Linked DNA regions of Drosophila melanogaster. The protein of the gene in region 2 purifies or fractionates together with the protein of the main gene of each other region. This does not show direct contact. Each region holds a gene or a part of one and is shown on either strand. Other genes may lie near its edges.

Region 1 (5,292 bases), 3.1 Mb from region 2:
CCCCCACTTGGCTCCTTATTAGTAATGCCTCAGATCGTCCGACGACACTCACGGTAAATGCAATCGAAAGTCGAGGAAAGCGAATTAAACCAGATGAAAATTATGTTATTAAAGATGGAAATGAAAGGTTTAAAATATTCATTGAAATATTGAAGAACTTTTTCCTAACTAGACAGCAACTATTGGCATTGACATAGTAATTTTACACTTAAACAATAGGCACTTCAAATTATTGATTGATAGATTGATGCTGATTGTTATGACTGCAATCATTTAAATAAGCAACGTACGGCATCTCATACCACATGTATGCATATCATGCACCCTTAATAAGTTATCGAGTTACTTCGTTCTTGACCAAATTGCATTGTTTCCATTATTCCCATTTCCATCGGTACCTGTGCTGCTTTTACTTATGGGCTTCTAACCCACAAACATTACACATGATATGTATATAGACATAGACGGGTGCGGGTTGGAGTGGTTCATAAGTATAGATTGCGGTTGCCGTAGTGGACCCCTTTATTCTATAGGTTGCATATGTATAAGAGGAAATTAAAAATATATGCTGCATTTGGGCAGCTCTCTTTCGTTTGGTGGTGTGTGTGTGTGGGTGTGTGGGATAGGATGTGTTGCCTACTTTTTGGCATTCGCCAGGCTCTTTTTGTCTGCTCACTTGTTGGTTGGGTTTTGTTTGCTTGTTTGCTTTGTTTTCCACATGGGCCACATTATTATGATGTCTCTTCTCTTTTTCTCGCCTGAATGAAGTGCATCGCACATAAGGGAGTCGAGTGTGTGGGTGTGTGTGTGTGTCTGCAAGTCCTAGAGATGGCAAACTATTGCAACTCATTAGGGAATGGCTTATTGTTATAATGAACCCAAAGTGGCACCGAAATATTTATTTTTAAGCTACTTAAAAGCTCTTTAAATGTAAAGAATACCAGTAGAAAAAATGCATTAAAACAGGATTTACAATACATTTGACTCATTGGTTAACTATGAATTTGTTCCTTATTCCGCATAAAAGTATACAAAGTGTAGTTTTTTCTTCAACCAATTGATGATGTTAAATATCGGTTGACCCCATTGCCCATCGTGTCACGCTGCCATCGCCAAGGACACACACGTTTCGGAGGTCGACTGGCAGCGTCAGCTTCGCGATTTTTCATCAAAGTCACGGCGGGCAAAAGTTGGCGAGATGCTGCCCCATTGTTGCTTCTGACACTGACACCGGAAATGAACACATTTTCCGGTGCCATACGTGTGCGCCTGTCCGTGTGTGTGTGTGTGTGTGAGTCTGTTTGCACTCAAACACACACACACTAAAACAGCGAGAGAAGCACGCACACTGAGACAGACTGAGACCACCCACTGGGAGATTGAAAGTCGCTTAATGTATTGTTTTTCAGCGCTGACTCTCGCCTTTCAGCTTTTGCCTCTCGGATTTTAGCGTTCAGATTTCAGATTTCGGTTCCCAGAAGGCCAACGAAAATACTCGCAGACCACGGCATGATATCCCGCTTATTAGTGTCAAAGGCAAAGTCGTGAATCGGGAGCATCGGAAACCAACTTCCGCCCAGCGAATTTAATTACTCGAGAGAAGGTGTTGATGAAATTGCTCTGCTTGCAGTGACTTTGTCAAAACGAAGGCAACGGAAAATTCGAGTGCAACGTGAACTAAAAGAACTTTATACTCAACCCATTCGATCTTTCATTTAATATAACATGCCTGCAAATGTTTATGATCATTGAACTACCCTTTAAAATAGTTCGATTTTATGTGGCAAAAATGAGTTTAGAAAATCGTTGTTATAATATACTTTAATTTCGTCAAATGTTTTCTAATCTTGAGTTAAATCTTTTTGATATAGCTGCCATTGTTTCCCCACACTCTCGAACCCAGCAGCTTTCTCTACTTTCTCTAACCATTTTCCTGTGTCTGATGGCTTCTTAATTAGCTGTTAAAACGTTTCGGCAGCTGCCAAAACAATTACACGCTTTATTTCCATGAACGGCACGTTTTACCTTCGTTGCAACGCAAGTTAGACCTGACCCCTGACCCCACTCCTCCAACCCATTTGAGTTGACCCCATACCCATACCGTTACACATTCCCACACCCACTATGAACTCCTGTTGCTGCAGCTGGGAATCTAATCCCGGGGACTCAAATCGTTTTACGCTGTCGCCGCATGTGGGCATTAAGTTAAATGCCGGCGTAGACGACAGGAACAATGATGATGGGTCCTGCCCATGATAATGATGATAATAACGGGGGGATGCGGATACGTGATTATGACGATAAGGTTCCGGATTCCGGAGGAGCCCATCGAGTGAGTGAGTGCGGCGCAATCTGCTGATTTATATTATTGTCACGTTTATGGCCAGATTGGGATTGAAATTGAGACGATGGGTGGGCTTAAAAGTGGGTGGCACAGCCAACGGTGCAATGCACTTTTTACAAGCAATTAAAGGTAGTTGGAATAGATAGATATATACATATATATATATATATATGTACGTATCAGATCTTCGAATGTCTAGAGACAGCTGTAAATGAATAATGAACGCCAATTCAGCGAAAAATATATTCAATTCAATTTCGATGCGTCACTCCGGATTCGTCGCTCATTAATTTATGACAGTCATTTTTAACGCTTTGCTGCCCACGATGCCCTCTGCAAGTGACAGTTGATGCTGACGGCGTGCCACGCCCACCCCCTACGCTCTAACGCCCAACCATTTTGCATGCGTCAAATATTCAAGCGCCATTTTTCAATTGAATTGAATGAATTTCTGAATTGAGTGCATGAATGACGATGCCGCTGCGACTAGTTGGCTTTGTTATCGTTAGCCTGGCAGGATCGGGCGACTTATCTATTACATGGATGTTGCAACATGGCTACTTGCTATCTCCTTTCAACATTAAGTGAATCCTTGGAGCAGACAAATTAGAAATATATTGCTGCATACTTTTAGACACCAGAAAGATCCACTGATACCAACCGATTTCAATACGTATAGGGTATTTCTTTATTCGCTCACCTGAAACTCGTACCCATTATTCCGAATTGTTCTATTCCGAATGATTTGTGTTTGGCCCCTTTGTTGACGAACGTCGAGGACAGAGCGGCTCTACGGCGAACGGGCCATTTGGCCGGACTCTAAAGTGGCCATATTTCACGCTCCTCTGATGGGCCTTGTCAACGTGGGCACCACGATGGCTCCAGCTCCAGCTCCTGCTGAATGTGTAGCCATTCTTGGGGCAGGACATTACACTTTAATTAACTACAAGGCCGGGGCAATTGGATTTCTCCATTTCCACCGCAACTCCAACTGCCACGCCCACTCTTTGGCTAGTTTGGGAGCTAATAAAACATTCAAAATATTTTTGTCGGCTCGTTTCTTGGACCGGAGGAGTGTGTAATTTTGCACATTTCATATGAAAAGTTGTCGAGCTCACGCAAAAAACTTTTGCAGCCAACACACAAGGATGCAATGCAGTTGCGCACAGTGGCACTGTGGGTTAAACAATATCAAAAAACAAAAAATAGTTTATAAAATTTATTTAAAAAATAGCTAAAAAATAACTGCACTTATATGTATAATTTTTAATGAGTTGGTAGTAAAAAAAAGTCTTGAACTATGAATCAGGTCCTTTATAAGATAATATTTGAATATTTTGAGGCATTCTTCTTGCACTCAAAACCATAATCCCAAAATGTATAGAACATTTTTGAAACTTTTCCTTACTTTCATTGCAGACTTTTGAATTATGCTCCACATTTCGAGCTCGTCACACGGTGCACAAGAAAAGTTTCTTTTGGCAAAGATTAACAGAACCCAGAAGCAACCGAAAAAGGGTTTGAGATTGGGATTTAGGGGGAATGTGCGTGTTTCTGGCGGCGCATGTTTGGCAATGCGGTAAACCAAATTATGTGCTTAGCAAGTTGCCGCTGCGACCAGAGTCAGTGGAACCAGCCAACCAGCCAACCAACCAGGCAACCAGCCAGCTACCTCAACCACCCGATCCTTTGTGTACTGGATGCAGCTGCATTTGCACAGAGCAACCAGCGCACAGCACAGCCCCTGCTCCCTCCTTTTGAGTCTTTGTGGCACAGCTCCTTGCACTTGGCCGCTTTTCCTGTTGGCTCTGGTGGCAAAGAGGTTTGCACAGGTGTTTCCAACAGCAACTTTGCCAGCATGATTAAAAAGTTTTGCCACGGCTCAGCAATAGAAATCCGAGACTTCGGTTACCACAATGTCAATGCCTGACAAGGGATATGTCATTTCTTATTGTTTGTTGCTAGCTAGGAGCAAAGGGATAGCAACACAATACTAGTACTTGCCAAATCTACAACCTGATTTTATTACTTGCATGTTTAAAAATCTCAATCCCATGACAAATGATCATATAGCCACAAAGATACATAGGTAAATTCTTATAGAATATTCAAGTATCACTGCGGATTCAAATGGTGCTCCAGTTAACCCGCCTGTTACCATAACAAACAACGACTGAGATTGTGTGTCATAAGCGTGTTTACATAGCGTACAAAAAAAAAGGAAATTCAAAATGCATTTTCAGGCCTCGAACATGAGAGTGAGGGATGTGATAATGAGGAGCTAGCCTCTGGCGAAGCGAAACATCTGGGAGTACAAGATCAAGTTAATGTACAAAACGGTGGACATGGCGATGATCATGGCCAAACGGTATCATTTCTTCTTGGCATCCTTGAGGCCAGCGCCGGCGTTGAACTTAAAGAATATGATGTCGCCATCCTCGACGGTGTAGTTGCGTCCCTGTTGGCGATATTTGCCAGCGGCCTTGGCATTCGCCTCACTGCCCTCCGCCTTGAAGTCCTCGAAGTGCATCACCTCGGCCATAATGAAGCCCTTCTCGAAGTCGGTGTGAATGCGTCCGGCAGCCTGGGGAGCCTTGGTGCCCTTCTGGATGGTCCAGGCCTTCACTTCATCCGGCCCGGCGGTGAAGAAGTACTCCAGCTGCAGTCCCTTGTAGCCGGTCACAACGATCTTCTCCAGCATACTTTTGCACTTGGTCTCCGTCTCGTAGGCCTTGCGCTCCAGTTCGTCCTTTTCGGTCAGCTGGTGCTCGAAGGCGCCGGAGAAGGGAATGAGCAGTGCTCCGGGATCGTTCTTGTCGATCCATTCCTTGATCTTCGGCAGCCACTTGTTCTTCTTGCGGATGAAGTCCTTGTCCGAAAGGTTCACCAGGTAGATGACCGGTTTGGAGGTCAGGAACAGATACTTGTTCAAGGCCTCAATCTGAAAG
Region 2 (4,827 bases):
TTTTGCGTTTCGCTTTTCGTTTACTGTTGCTGCACTCAGCCAAGGTGCACTGGAAAAAAACCAAGTACTATTCGTACAACTAAATTCCCATAATAAATTCAAAATAAATACAAAATAAAAGTATTTAAACTACAAAATATTCCATGTTACAAACAAGTATAAATCCAAGAATTGAGTTTGATGTGCAAATCAACTCAGTACTGTGGTTACCTTTTGGTGAACAAGTTTCAATTTGTACCGTAGAAATTTGTACTGTAAAAGATGTGTTTTGTTTCTCCTGCAGTTCGCAACTGTCGCGAGCGATGGCGCACCATAAGGAGCAGCTTCCTGCGATCCCTGAAGCTGGCACGCACACAAACGGGACGCGGCAAGCGCAAATACTACCTATCGAAGTATCTTCAGTTTCTCGTTCCGTTCACCAAGTCGCGATCCTGCCACAAGCAGCTGCCGGGCATGGTGCTCCGCAAACCCGGCCAAGCTGCCACTGCTCAGCAGGAAGATGAGGTGGTGGCGGCGGAGGAGGAGGCCAAGGTGAGCGATGGTGAGATGCCGCTGGACGTTCAGGTGTCCGAGGAGGAGCATCGTCGTAATCAGGAACAGGATCGGGAGCAACCCACCGCCTGTTTGCCGCTCCGCCTGCATTCCATCAAAGTGGAGCACGATTCGTCAAATGCGAACCAGCAGCTGGAGCGGATGGTGAGCCAGCAGTCGCTGGTCTCGGTGCCCGCCGCCGCGCTGGGCAATCACCTGGGCTGGTCGGATCTGACGCAGTGGTTCAAGGGACATGGCAGCGGTCATCACAAGTTAACCACAACAACAACAACACCAACATCACCACCACCGCCGCCGCAGCCGGCTACGTCAGCTCTAAGTGTTTTCACTGGCGGACCAGGAGGAGGTGGCTCACAACCGGATGCCGACTACTCCTTTCTGATCAGCCTGCATCCGTACATCAAGGAGATGAACGGCAAGCAGAATCGAAAGTTTCGACAGAAGGTCGTCGGACTCATCGACGATATTCTGGATAACAAGGATGTCTAATTTGTACACGGAAAAAAAACCGAAGATGCTTACGTTTCAGCGATGAAAATTACGATTTGTAAACGGCTCTATCAAAATTACCACACACAAGAGATGCATATTTTGAATGATTGTGCGGAAATATTCTACATACCAAATGCAACATTATTTCAAAACCAACATTTTCACCACTTTCAGATTTCATTCTGGCCATCATATTGCTAACTTTTAGACAATGAACTTAGTTTTTAAATATTTATGTCTAAGTTAAGTGTGAACGTACATGAAATTTATATCGAAGTTTATATGCACTGCATCGAAATTTGTAAAGCGCCCAGTGGAACAGGATGAAATCACCAGTTATGTGATATTTTCTCTCCGTGAAGAAAAAAAGCCACAAGAATCGAAGAAAACACACCCAGTTGATAGAAAACGCCAACAGTGCCCATTTATTAGATGTGTAGAGCGTACTTTAATTACGCTTTTTATTGTTGTTGTTAAGCACACACACAAACACGAATTTGTTATTGTCGAATAAAACATTTAAACTACGAACATTTTATTTTACTTCAGACGGAACAGAAACAAAATTTGCGTATATATGTCGCATTTGCTGGCGATATGCGAAATTGCGGATTAAAATCAAAACGAAACTTTCAAAATTATTTAATGTATAAATTTCTAGCTTTTTTTTTGAATTTCTAGCTAGCCAACCGCCTTAATCGAGTGCAATCGATAGATTCAGCGCACAGCTGATGCACCGATAGTACGCAAAGCTTCCTGGCTTTGTTGTTGTTGTTGTCGCCGTTCGCTTGTTGTTGCACTAAAAAGACGAAAAAAGGAAGGAAAATCACTGGCGCGGAATAACAATTAACAAAATGGAATAATTGCATTGCTGTCGCCGTAACTCATCAGTTAAATGTGCGCCAGTAAACAGTCGATGCAGCAACGAAACACATGAGCTATTGGGTGAGCTATGCGCGTGTGTGCGTGCGCCATGTGTTTGGCCTGCATGCGTGTGTGTGCGTGTGCGTGTGAGGGCCTGAGGTTTTGGCTTTATATCACTTTTTTTTTGTTTTTGCTGACTTTTCCGATACGAAAGTGATGTAATTTTTGGCTGGCCACAAATAAGCCAACTCACTCGCACGTCAACCGCCGAAGCATTTACCACGCTCATCGCACAGTTAAAGTTTGTTTATGGGCCTAGAAAATTACATAAAGTAAATACTTACACACACACACACACACGCAAAAAAAAGATATTTTTCGGCGAAAGTTTTTTTTATGTTTTATTTATTGAGTGCTAATAGTTGCTCTTTTGACTTTAACAGCGTGTGACGTCATCGTTTTTGCTAGCCAGGGCACGGCCACGCCTCCCACAAACATTACGCCCACTGAGCACCATGAACGAATGCCGGAAGAACATCACAAACATCACAAACATTACAGCGAACAACAGCATTCTATGCGCAAAGAGCATTAGCAAAAAGCATTTGTTTCTAGAGAAACGGAGCATGTCGGATCGTTCGGAGAACTCCAAGGATGTGGCAAAGGGACAGGATATATCAAATCCAATGGAACTAACAGCCGAGGATCGACTGGCCATTGAGGAGCGGCAAAATAAAGCGTTCGCCTTCTTCGCCGAAACCCTGCAAATCTACGGCGTCGAGGAGCTAATTTTCTGTTTCAACGGCGGCAAGGATTGCACCGTGCTGCTCGATCTCCTTATGCGTTACCTGCGCCAGGAGAACATCTCCAGCGGCGACATTCCCATGCTGTACATTAAATCCGGCGATTCGTTTCCGGAAATCGATGAGTTCGTCGAGCGTTGCGTACGCAACTACCGCGTCCAGTTGGTTCAGTACGAGGGTACGCTCAAGGAGGCACTCACCCACATGTCGTCGGACATGCCGCGGATCAAGGCCGTCTTCGTGGGCAGCCGCAACACGGATCCCTACTGCCAGCATCTGGCGCCCATGCAGGTGAAGCTGGTTAGGAATATAGCAATCAGGAGATAAATCATATTTAAATGTTTTGCACTGAAATGCTCAGGAGTTCGTAGGTTCAAGTGTGAAGAAAAGTTTCTTTCTCAAGAGTAGTAGATTGATTATAAAGCCAAGTTATCAAAGTCACAGCCTTAGTATCAAAATTATGCCATTGTTAATCTAGAAAAGTATGTGCCCTTTGCCAATATCACAGTGACAGTGGCATTTTCGAATGTCATGATTCCATTCCGCAGATAAGCGAGTTCTGTGGTTCACCACCTAACATAGAATTTATTCGAGTATTTTACAAAACCAAATGTATCCCGCTTATTTGAAAATCTCACAAGATCACAAAGATAATAATGAAGCTAGCTTGAAATAGTTTTGGAAAGTTCGAAACTGCTGTTTCCTATTAGGAAACCCCAAGTGCCTAGTGATGCTAATTTCGATTTTTTTTTTAGCCCACGGACAACGACTGGCCGCCGATGATGCGCCTGAATCCGCTGCTGGAGTGGAGCTACCACGACGTCTGGCACTACATCCACTTGAACTCGGTGCCCTATTGCAGCCTGTACGATCGGGGCTACACCTCGATCGGGAATCGTGCGAACACAGTGCCTAATCCGCACCTCCGACGCACCGATGCCGAGTGTGAATGTGGTTCTAATTCCGATGCCGTCTGCTCCTGCGATCTGGGTGGCTATCGGCCCGCCTGGGAGCTCCAGGATGCCACCATGGAGCGTGCTGGTCGCCTGCCCAGGAAGTAGGATTCCATTTGCGTGGCTATAGTGTAATTGAATAGCTTAAACTCCAGTTAGTCACGAAACTTTATATAGCTGTGTATATATATTAACGTGTGATCTGGATTTCGGTAAACAAACTTAATTTAGTAAAATTTTGTACGACCTAAGGTATGCCGCTGAATAAATGTGGCCTCTGTTAGCAGGCCACTTAAGCAGTATTCCTAGTTTTTATGGAGTATTTAAATTTTTAGTTGTTTAGTTGTTGAATGTTTCTTTCTAATTTTGCATAAAAGCTGAAGCAAGCTAAAAGAGCCAAAGAAACAGCACTGGCTTCAGTGCAAAATCTAGTGCTGCAGCAAGCTGGCTTTTAAAAGCTAGAAAAAGCTCAAGATGCCATGGTGCCACTGTTAAAACGCCAGCATGGCAGCACTAGATGGCCAGTCAGCTGTTTTGCCAGCTGATTTTCGCCGCATTTTCACAACATTACGCGATTCTTTGAACTTTTTTTGCTGTGATATTTTTACGAGATTTACGTAATCCTACGCGCCGATCATCACCAGCGAATCACCCACGCGAGAGCAGTGCACAATAAACCAGTATTTCCTCGCTCCGCGATGTCGCGATCCGCACAAGAAGCTGCGGCGCTGCTGCGGGGACTGCGGATCTTGTTGGAGGCGTGTGGGCGCGAGCATCTCGCCCACGGTCGTCATCTGTGGAGCAATTCAAGCATTCGTGAGCTAATCGCCGAGAATGTGGCGCACACACAGCAGCTGGTGAGAAGTTCCAGTCAAAATCCCACCGAGGAGCTGAAAAAACTGCAGCAAACTGTAAAAGAAACGGGCGAAAGGGGCTACGTGGTGGCCAAAGGTATTTGCTCGCTGCTGGAGACGAAAATCAAGATGTCCCGCGAGGAATCGGCCATCTCTGAGCCTGCACAAGTCTCCTCAATTCGTAAATCCACACCCACGGCACAAAATCCAGCAAGTTGGGACGCCGCCAACTTGGATATATCATCCATAACGCTGCAGGAGTTCGAGGAGATACTCTCGCGCCGGAACAAAGATCGTAGTGTTAGCTTG
Region 3 (4,731 bases), on a different chromosome or scaffold from region 2:
TTTATTATGCCTCCAATTTCTGCTTTATCCAATCGATGAAAGCCCCCCTGAGGGTATATACACCGGGTTATCCACCGAGGCCGCACTGCTTCGTGCCGTAGGAAGTAATGCCAGCGATGTAGAATACGTCCCGGCTGCCTGTGGATATGGACACCATCAAGGGACCGCCAGAATCGCCATCGCAGGTATCCATAGCCGTACATGCCGCCGGCGCACAATTGGATCTGGATCAGATCGCCCGTGGGCAGGCAAATGGGGCGCACGTAGTCGGTGTAGCTGGTGAATGAATAACAATGATGAAGAAGTTATGGAATACTCACACATCCCACACACCCGCCACTCCTTTTCAATGCCACTCCTTTTCAAAACCAAAGCAATGTCATTCTGCTGGTCTACGGAATTAGGCAACTATTGGTCATGTACAATGCCCTTCTCCACCTCGTGTGTGGATATATTTCAAAATTTTAAGCGGATCCAGGTGAAATCGTTGTCGTTTATGGCATCCCATCTGAATGTTGGACCCACTCGGAAAATGCGCAGATGACCATTAGCAATAGTAGAAAATTCCATTCCATGGAAGCCATCTCGATACCCCAGAACCCAATCCGATACTGACCAAGCTCTCCGGCACATCTGCCGTCTAGATTGACAAGTGAGATGGCTATTGCAACAGAGATAAATGAGTTCCAGAGATTTTCCTCTACTTTTCCATTAGAATATGGGAAATTACGTGGGCAAGCTACTACCAGACTTTGCTGATCACAGATTGACAGAAAAGTGGTTCGATATTATTACAACCGGTTGTGCTCGCAAAACTTGACAGTGCCGATCTCATGTGAATTGATTAAACCCCAATATCTACATCGCGCTTTTCACATGGTTATCATGTATTTAAGTATGTATTCATCATGGCTCCAATTTCTGCTTTATCCAATCGATGAAAGCCCCCGTGCGGGTATAGACGCCGGGCCATCCCTTGAGGCCGCAGGGCTTCGTCCCGTAGGAGGTGACGCCGGCAATGTAGAAGACATCCCGGCCGCCCGTGGATATAGGCACCATAAGGGGACCGCCGGAATCGCCACCGCATGTATCCACGCCCAACTGGCCGCCGGCACACATCTGAGAATCGTCCAGTTTCACCTTGAAGCTGGAGTACTTTTCCTGACAACTCGTTAGGTTCCAAACGTTGACGGTGATCTTCAGCTTGATCGCACTTGGCTGCATGTTCTCGGTAAGTCCCCAGCCGGCCACATCCATGCCGTAGTCCACAAAGTTGTTTTGGACTAAACCATCCGTGGGAAGGCATATTGGACGCACGTAGTCGGTGTAGCTGTGGCAAAAACAAAAAAGCAAGTCAGTGGAATAATTGAGGGATCTCTGGACCACATACCTAACAATCCTCTTAAGGCGCACCAACGCAATGTCATTACGCTGATCAACGGAATTGGGAGCATACATCTCGTGGATGATGCCCTTCTCGACCTCAATGTCGATGTGTTTCGGTGCACAGATGCGCTGTCCGTTCATCTGGGTGGTGCAGTCAGGATCGGTACGAGTGTCCCACTCCCCCAGGCGAACGCTGTGTAGAACGGCACCGGATTTGTCCAGTTCTCGGCTGGCCAGGCAGTGTCCAGCGGTCAGGACGTAGCGCGAGTTGAGCAATGCACCGCCGCAGTTGAAAGTGTAGGTTTCAGAAAAAACTGAAAGGATAAAGAGCGTTTCCCAAGTACATATTATAAATTGATTAGATACTAATAATAGCCTTGTATATATTGAATATGCGTTTTCTTATAATGATGATCCCCCCATTGGAGAATTTGATTTGAAAAAGTGATTAAAAAATGATTACAGGTGACCTCGTGAAACAACCTTCCTATAAGAGATTAAAATAGAGCCTGGGTAGGTAATCTACTCACGTTTTTTGTACTGCAGCAATACCATCCATGGGAATTCCCAGAGGGTCGTATTGGTGCCCCCGAAAATGCGATCAGCGAAAAGGAAGCCGCAGACGTCATTTCCAGGCAGCACATCCCCCTGCTGCAGTGCATCCCTCGTCGAAGGAGTTGGTTCCGAGTCCATGATATTGCCCCGCATGCTCTGCGGACAGCAGACCAGGATTCGATTCACCAAGCCCTCAACCCTGTTGTCCAGGCCACACTGGCTCTTGGAGAGAAGGATTCGCTGGGCGGGAGTCTTTGGCTCCACCATCAGCAGGTTGGCCAGGTAGGGGCAGCTGGTGATGTGAACGCACTGGCCGCGCTCATCGCTCTGCTGGGGCGTACAACTGCCAAAGCTGATCTCCGCTGCGTCTGGAAGAGAAGAGCGCGATTTACGATGCAGTCTAACCGGTTCTGAACCAATCCATTAAAGGCAATCCATTCTACTAATGGACTTCATGTCTAATATTTCTCATAAAATTTCTTAGTCCGGGAAACTATATGTTGATATTTAATATATTTGAAGTTTTCAAAAACTCTTTGATTATTAGTTGTTATGGTTTTTATTCTCACAATCAACAAGGTCAAGTGCTTAGTTTTTCTAGCTTTATTCAAACTATATACTATACTATACTATATATATAGAACTATATACTTTTGAAAGAAGCACCATTGCATCCAGTTGCTGTGGATATTGTTTGCCCAAAGGACAGCTTACCCACCTGATCGATGGACCAAGCCGGATAATGCGCTGACCACCAGTGACAGTAGCAGAAAATTCCGTTCCGTAGAAGCCATCTCGTCGCTATGGGCTCCAAGCTGATACTAACCAAGCTGTCCGGCAGTTTCGCTGTCACCGATTCTCTCCCGATGCATTGGGCGTGATTAGCAGAGGTTATCTCCGGACTCAATACCATCTAGATTGCAACAAAGGCAAAAGCTATGTGAATAGGGTGGTCTTTCCCTGCCTTAATATTTACATAGTAGTTCTGCTGAGCTGGGCAAACCCAGCGGTGTAGTTATTAGAAATTTATTTATGCTTAATCTTCTCTCGGCACGTTATGTTTTTTGAACAACACGTTTTTTAAAAAACAATCTTCAGTGCTTTTTCTTATCTTTTGGGGTTTTATAGGTCTATTACTTTATAGTAGTGGATTAATGGAACAGATGCTATTCCAATTTTGCAAATATGAATTCTTTATTAAAATTAGGGAGCCAAATTCGCTTTGATCCACTCCGAAAAGTGGCCAATTTTTGTGTAAACACCTGGAATACCAGCAGAGTAGCAATATTGTTGTCCATATGAGGCAATGCCTGCCAAAAAGACGAACTCGTCGACGCCGCTTCCCATGATGCCCATTACCGGACTGCCGGAGATGCCCGCACAGGTGTCCCCTTTCCGTTGACCACCGGCGCATACTTGGGACGCGGAGCGAAAGCTGGGATACCTATTCAAGCAATCAGCAGGATTCCTTTCCTTGACCGTGCTGGTGATCAACGTTTGACTGCTTTTAGTCGGATCCCAGCCAGAGATTTGCAAATTCAAATCCTGTAGGGGAAATTCGGCGTCCAATAGACAAATGGGTTGGATCTTTTTCGTGTATCTAGCGGGTTTGTAAAGAAATTTCCATAAGATGTGGAGATTAGGGTGGAGATCACTGCTACTCACCGCACTGGGAATTGCAATCGGAGGAGGGCGATGTCGTTGCGGTAAGTTCCGCCACTCGAAGTGAAACCCTGATGTACTGTTGTTTGCCCCACCTCCACATCCAAATGTGGACACCTGCTTTCCGAGGTGATGCAGTCGGTAGTGGACTCGCCCAGGCGCACACTCTTCAGAACCAGGTCATTCTGCGTCAAGTAACCACCGATCACGCAGTGGGCAGCGGTCAGCACATAGCGACTGTAAAATCCCAAATGAGAAGACTTTACTCGTTGAGTTTTTGTAAGAAACTAATTTTATTTGGAAATATCTTCGGTTTAAATAGGTGACATGAGAATCGCATCTTAAAGTAAATGGCCTACGCAGAGGCCTAAGTAAATAGTCCCCGCCTTATCGAGGTCCCACGCTCGGGCACATCTGCCTATCTTGAGCGGCGAGGACCTTATCTGTGGTCTCCCACTAAGGGACTATTTTAGGAGGCGGGGAAAGATCTCAAGTGACTGACTCATGTAGTGTGCACTTAAATTACATGTTTTTGAGCAATGCACCCATGTCGCCTTAGATAACAAAATCCTAAATATAATTTATCGCTCTCGATTCATTTACATAAGATATGAACGGAGCCCAAAATTGTAAGTCTTTAAATATATTCGTGTTCATGTGTGAACAGCGACTGTTGATCAGTGAGCCCGCACAACCAGTTCGTTGATTCCACATCAAGGATAGCCGATTCTCATATAACAGCAATACCATCCAAGGGTACTCATTAAGCTCTGCATTCTCGGCACCCCGATCTCGGAACACGGGCGTCGTTTGTCCACAGGTCTGTTTGTTGGGCAAGACGTCACCCAACTCTGGGCAGCAGACATAAACCATGTGCAACAACTCGTGTCCATTGGGGTCCAGGCCACACTGCCTGTGTGCAAACACATCTTTCTCCGCCTGGGTCATGCCCCGGGGCCTAAGGATGTTCATAAGCGGCGAGCAGCTAACCAGTCTGGTGCATTTCTCATCCTTTTGGCAGCTTGATAACCGAACTATAAATTACAAAAATAGATAAGTGAAAGCCCCGATAAAGTATAGCAGTACGAGTCTATGTGGAAATATTATTATTATTATTATTTTTGAATA
Region 4 (4,207 bases), on a different chromosome or scaffold from region 2:
CTTTGTAGGCAAAGCAAGTAATTTGTTATGATAGTTTTTAAGAAATTGGATGTTTCTGCACGAGTAGATGTCCAATGAATCAGTATTTTAAGAGCTACGCAACTACAGGCAGGAGCCTGTATCATCCGATTTCATTTTGATAATAACAGGTTTGAAAAGATGCGCATTTACTGAGTTGGTAAGAAACTGACTGATAACAAACTTTTCCAGACGCTATATTAGTCAGCTTTTAAGTGTGAGTAAAGCTGAGTCCATGGGTTTGTCCATGTCATCCACCAACTTGAGTGCTATAGCAATTAGCTTTATTGTCGCTTAAGAAATGCTATGGAACTGTAATAATGTAATAATATGTCTGTAATAAATGCTTAACTTATGATTTGATAATAAAATTTTCATTTCACAATTTAAGTAAATGTGGAGTAAGTTTTTCCCATGTGAAAACTGAATTACTTTATTTATTTATTTTGAAACATAACATAAAGTTTTCCCTAAATATTTAGAAATATTTTTGTTCTGTAATGTATCTTATCTTATTATAATTTGGCTTGCCAAACGTTAGGACAACCTAAATTAGATTTTAAACTATCCTTGTTATTAAAGATTTCTAAATTAAATTTTATTATTATAAAGCTTTTGAGCACAGTATTCTGACAGAGAGTATATACAAGACTGGCTTTTAAAAGCTTTTATTTTATATGTATGTACATACATCTAAAATTCGGATTGGTTAATATTTAAATTCAAAGACACCTTCTTTTAAGAATTCAAATTTCCAGTCAAAACATATTTTTAAGTCGTTTCTCTCCCTCTCTAAAATTGAATTCTTTTTTATTTATTTATCTATCATTATTCAATTGTAAAAAAAGCTTTTTGATACTAGACAGTTTCTTTGTGTTTATTTGTATAATGTAGGGATTAATGCAATCTTGGAACGCAGTCTTTTGTAGATAAGAGTTTTCCTATACATATTTCGCGCTGTCAGGATTATACACATTTTCAGATAACAACTATTATGGTCTTTCAAGTCCTTCCATCCTCAAATGAACTCCCTCCTGGGTGGATATCAGGAAATTACGACTGGAAAACTTCAGCGGGATCTGTGTTTTCTCCGACCTGCTGAACTTAAAATCCCTTAGAAGGTATACAAGACCCACCTTCACTTGCAGTTTACCAAAACGCTCGCCTATGCAATTTCGAGGACCCTCGCCAAAAGGCAAATAGGCGAAAGGATGCCTAGCCTTAATCTCTTCTGGCTCAAAGCGACTGGGATCAAACTTTTCTGGATCGGGATAAAGCTCTGGGTCGTGATGAATACTATGCACAGGTATTATTATCTTAGATCCCGGCTCCAGGATTAGGTTGCTATTCGGTATCTGGTACTCCTTGGTGGAACGCCTCAGTAAGTGAGGCAGTATAGGATACTTGCGAAGCGTCTCGGCAACCACTTGGTCCAGGTAGGGCATCTCCTGAACGGAGTCGTACGTGAGCTTTTGGTTGTTGCGTTTCAAAACGGCGAGTACCTCAACCCGTAGCCTTTCTTGGACATCGGGGTTGAGGGCCAGCTCATACAGGCAGAAGGACATGGTGGTGGAGGAGGTGTCGAACCCGGCCAAAAAGAAAACCAATGCCTGGGCCGCAATCTGCTCGAAGGAGAGGGCGTCTTTTACTCCCTCCTCACCCAATTCCATTAGTAGTTGGATCAGGTCGTTGCGATGAATATTCTCCCGTCGCCTGTAGTCCAATGTCTGGCGTACCGTGTCCAAGAAGAACTCACTGACCTCCGGGCGAAAAAGCCTGAAGCGCAGCTTCCTAGCCAACTCCGGCTGGGCAAACATAAAGGCCTGGACGAGCACCGAATGCAGGGGCTCCTGGGTCACTGATCGGCCCATTCGCCGGAACTGCGACTCCGGATCCTGGAGACTATTACACTCGAGGCCGAAGGCACAGCTGCCGATCACATCCGTGGTGAACCTGGCACACAGATCCTTTGCCTCTATCTCGCCGACCTGGAGGCGACACGCCTGCGTTAGCTTCTCGCCCACCTCCACCATGTTGGGGAACATGAATTTCATCTTGCCGGAGGTGAACACCTGCGTCAAATTCTGGCGCAACCAGCGCCACTCCGGTCCGTCCAGGAAGAGAAGGTTCCCGGTCAGTGGATCGTCCCGCACATTATGGAAGAGTCCTCGATCGGCGAAGCTGGAAAAGTCCCTGATCATTATATCGCGGATCAGTTCCAGATCCATGATAAACAGCGACTTGGTCATAAAAGTGAAGTAGCCGCAGTAGCGCTCCACTCCCCGAAACTTCCGGTAGATCCGCAGGTTGATATCCGTCCAGTGAAGGTCCCTTCCCAGCCCACTCATATTGCCGCGGAAGTACACGGGTCTTTCTCCGGCGACGCCCCTTCTGCTCCAGTAGCTGTAATGCCAGCGTAGCTTGACATATAGCAGAAGTCCGACGGTGAACACGAGTACCAGGAGCGTCAGCATGGTACCTACTGCTCGATAGAATAACAACTGAGTGGAAAAGTGGGGTACATTTGATTTGCCGTCTGAAAAGCTTTCGCTTCGCTCTCTTTTCGGGGACTCTCTTTCTCTATCGGTCTTATATGCAAAGAACTGCAGTTATCTAAACATACATAAACATATCTTGCGTCATTTTAAATGAGAATCAAATGATTTGTAAACAAAATATATAGAGCGTTGCTAATGTTCAGTTTTCAGATCAATTATTATTTGAAAATTTAAAAAACTTCACTGGCTAAGCGTTATTAGATTATTTACAAGTTTTACAAGTACATTCTAAACTTTCCAAAGTTAGTAAAATTCCGAGTCTATATGCGTTCCACTATGGCGCTGCGAGTGTCCGAAGCTAAGGGGATGTCTGTTAGGTCTGAATCACCGAACTTGAAGCGCTGACACAATGCCAATCTTGGCCTGCATTTTGCCAAAACGCAGACCTATGCAACTGCGGGGTCCAAATGTTCCGAAGGGCAGATATGCAAATGGATGGCGGGAGTTGGACTTATAAGCCTTGAGGCGGCTGGAATCGAAGAGTTTTGGATGTGGATATAAGTGCGGATCGTAGTGAACACTGTGCACAGGTATCAGTAATGAAGTTCCCTTCTCAACGATGAGCTCAGTATTGCGGACCCTAAAGCTTTCTTGTGTTTCGAGCAAAAATTTAATTAATTGGATGTTTTCGAAGAGTTTCTAAAAGTTAAGTTGCGCTATCAAATTTTCCATGCTTACCAGACAAGACCTGTTCTGGATAGTTAATTTTAGCTAAGGCGTCGTAAGTAATCGCATTTCCTTCCAGAACCCTTTCTATTTCATCCCTTATTTGATTCTAGATCTCCGGCTGGAGGGCTAGTTCGTACTTACAAGAGCTCATCGTACTGGAGGAGGTCTCGAATCCAGCCAAGAAGAACACGATGGCCTGGGCAGCCATTTGCTCCAGGGTCCAGTTGTGGGAGAGATCAAACTTTGACCCTCCTTGCCTGCTACTTCGTCCTCCGCTCGGAGGACTGGTCCATAAAGTCATTCCGCTTAATGCCGGTTTAACCACCGACAAGAAGAAGTCGGTCAAATCATCGCGAAGAATCTTCATTTTTAACTTTTTAGCCAACTTGGAGTTGGTAACTGTAAATGCGGCCCTTTCTTCTGAACTCGGCTTTGGGATTCGGGATCCACTATGTGCCGATTCCCTTGATGTTTGCAATCAGCGGTAGAGGACGCTCATGGGACACTCCCCGTTCTGGCCCAATATGTGTAGGTGTTGTAATAGAATCTATATAAGCCAACATTGGGACCAAACTGAATAATGCGAGAGTGAGCCGCATGGCGATCAAGATACTTCTTTGGATTAAGCTATCCAGCACACTGGTACGCGAAGTATTTTCTTGAAAGCTTATTGTTAGGTTCTAACGAATTTTCTTCATAGATCTCGGGAGCTTAATCGGCAATCAAGCAAACAATCAAACATATGTACAATATACATATAAACATTTGCTCAGCTTTTGAGTCGACAAAGCTTTTTCCCATGGTGAACTAGACGGTACTAGAAGATAAGGTTGTAAACAAATACTATATACATTGTTTAGTTTAAGTGTACTATTGTACATTGTGATGATATAACTTATTCTTTAAGAGGTAAAGTGAAGAGCATACTAGATTCGTTGAAAAGTTTAAAAGTAAAAGTTTGA

Evidence for each region.
Region 1: the proteins of Flad1 (region 2) and CARPB purify together in Drosophila melanogaster (affinity purification with mass spectrometry, with the first as the bait; one large-scale study listed by BioGRID). This does not show direct contact.
Region 3: the proteins of Flad1 (region 2) and SPE purify together in Drosophila melanogaster (affinity purification with mass spectrometry, with the first as the bait; one large-scale study listed by BioGRID). This does not show direct contact.
Region 4: the proteins of Flad1 (region 2) and Cyp6a13 purify together in Drosophila melanogaster (affinity purification with mass spectrometry, with the first as the bait; one large-scale study listed by BioGRID). This does not show direct contact.

What each region holds. Positions count from the first base shown.
Region 1 is NC_004354.4:9,781,152-9,786,443, reverse strand, and holds the start of CARPB (carbonic anhydrase-related protein B), read right to left. Parts: upstream 3,222-5,292; 5' UTR 3,045-3,221; intron 1-3,044. Other genes in the region: CG1354 (uncharacterized protein), read right to left, coding at 4,716-5,285.
Region 2 is NC_004354.4:12,900,491-12,905,317, reverse strand, and holds Flad1 (flavin adenine dinucleotide synthetase 1), read left to right. Parts: upstream 1-1,801; 5' UTR 1,802-1,977; coding exon 1,978-1,989; intron 1,990-2,155; exon of another isoform or gene 2,156-2,240; intron 2,241-2,351; coding exon 2,352-3,002; intron 3,003-3,466; coding exon 3,467-3,772; 3' UTR 3,773-3,965; downstream 3,966-4,827. Other genes in the region: CG4404 (uncharacterized protein), read left to right, coding at 284-1,041; Coq8 (coenzyme Q8), read left to right, coding at 4,363-4,827.
Region 3 is NT_033777.3:23,684,290-23,689,020, reverse strand, and holds SPE (Spatzle-Processing enzyme), read right to left. Parts: upstream 2,767-4,731; 5' UTR 2,736-2,766; coding exon 2,660-2,735; exon of another isoform or gene 2,484-2,659; intron 2,310-2,483; coding exon 1,917-2,309; intron 1,701-1,916; coding exon 1,391-1,700; intron 1,331-1,390; coding exon 907-1,330; 3' UTR 874-906; downstream 1-873. Other genes in the region: CG18754 (uncharacterized protein), read right to left, coding at 3,145-3,541, 3,607-3,840, 4,316-4,637.
Region 4 is NT_033778.4:8,568,816-8,573,022, reverse strand, and holds Cyp6a13 (cytochrome P450 6a13), read right to left. Parts: upstream 2,525-4,207; 5' UTR 2,493-2,524; coding exon 1,011-2,492; 3' UTR 876-1,010; downstream 1-875. UniProt on the Drosophila melanogaster protein: May be involved in the metabolism of insect hormones and in the breakdown of synthetic insecticides.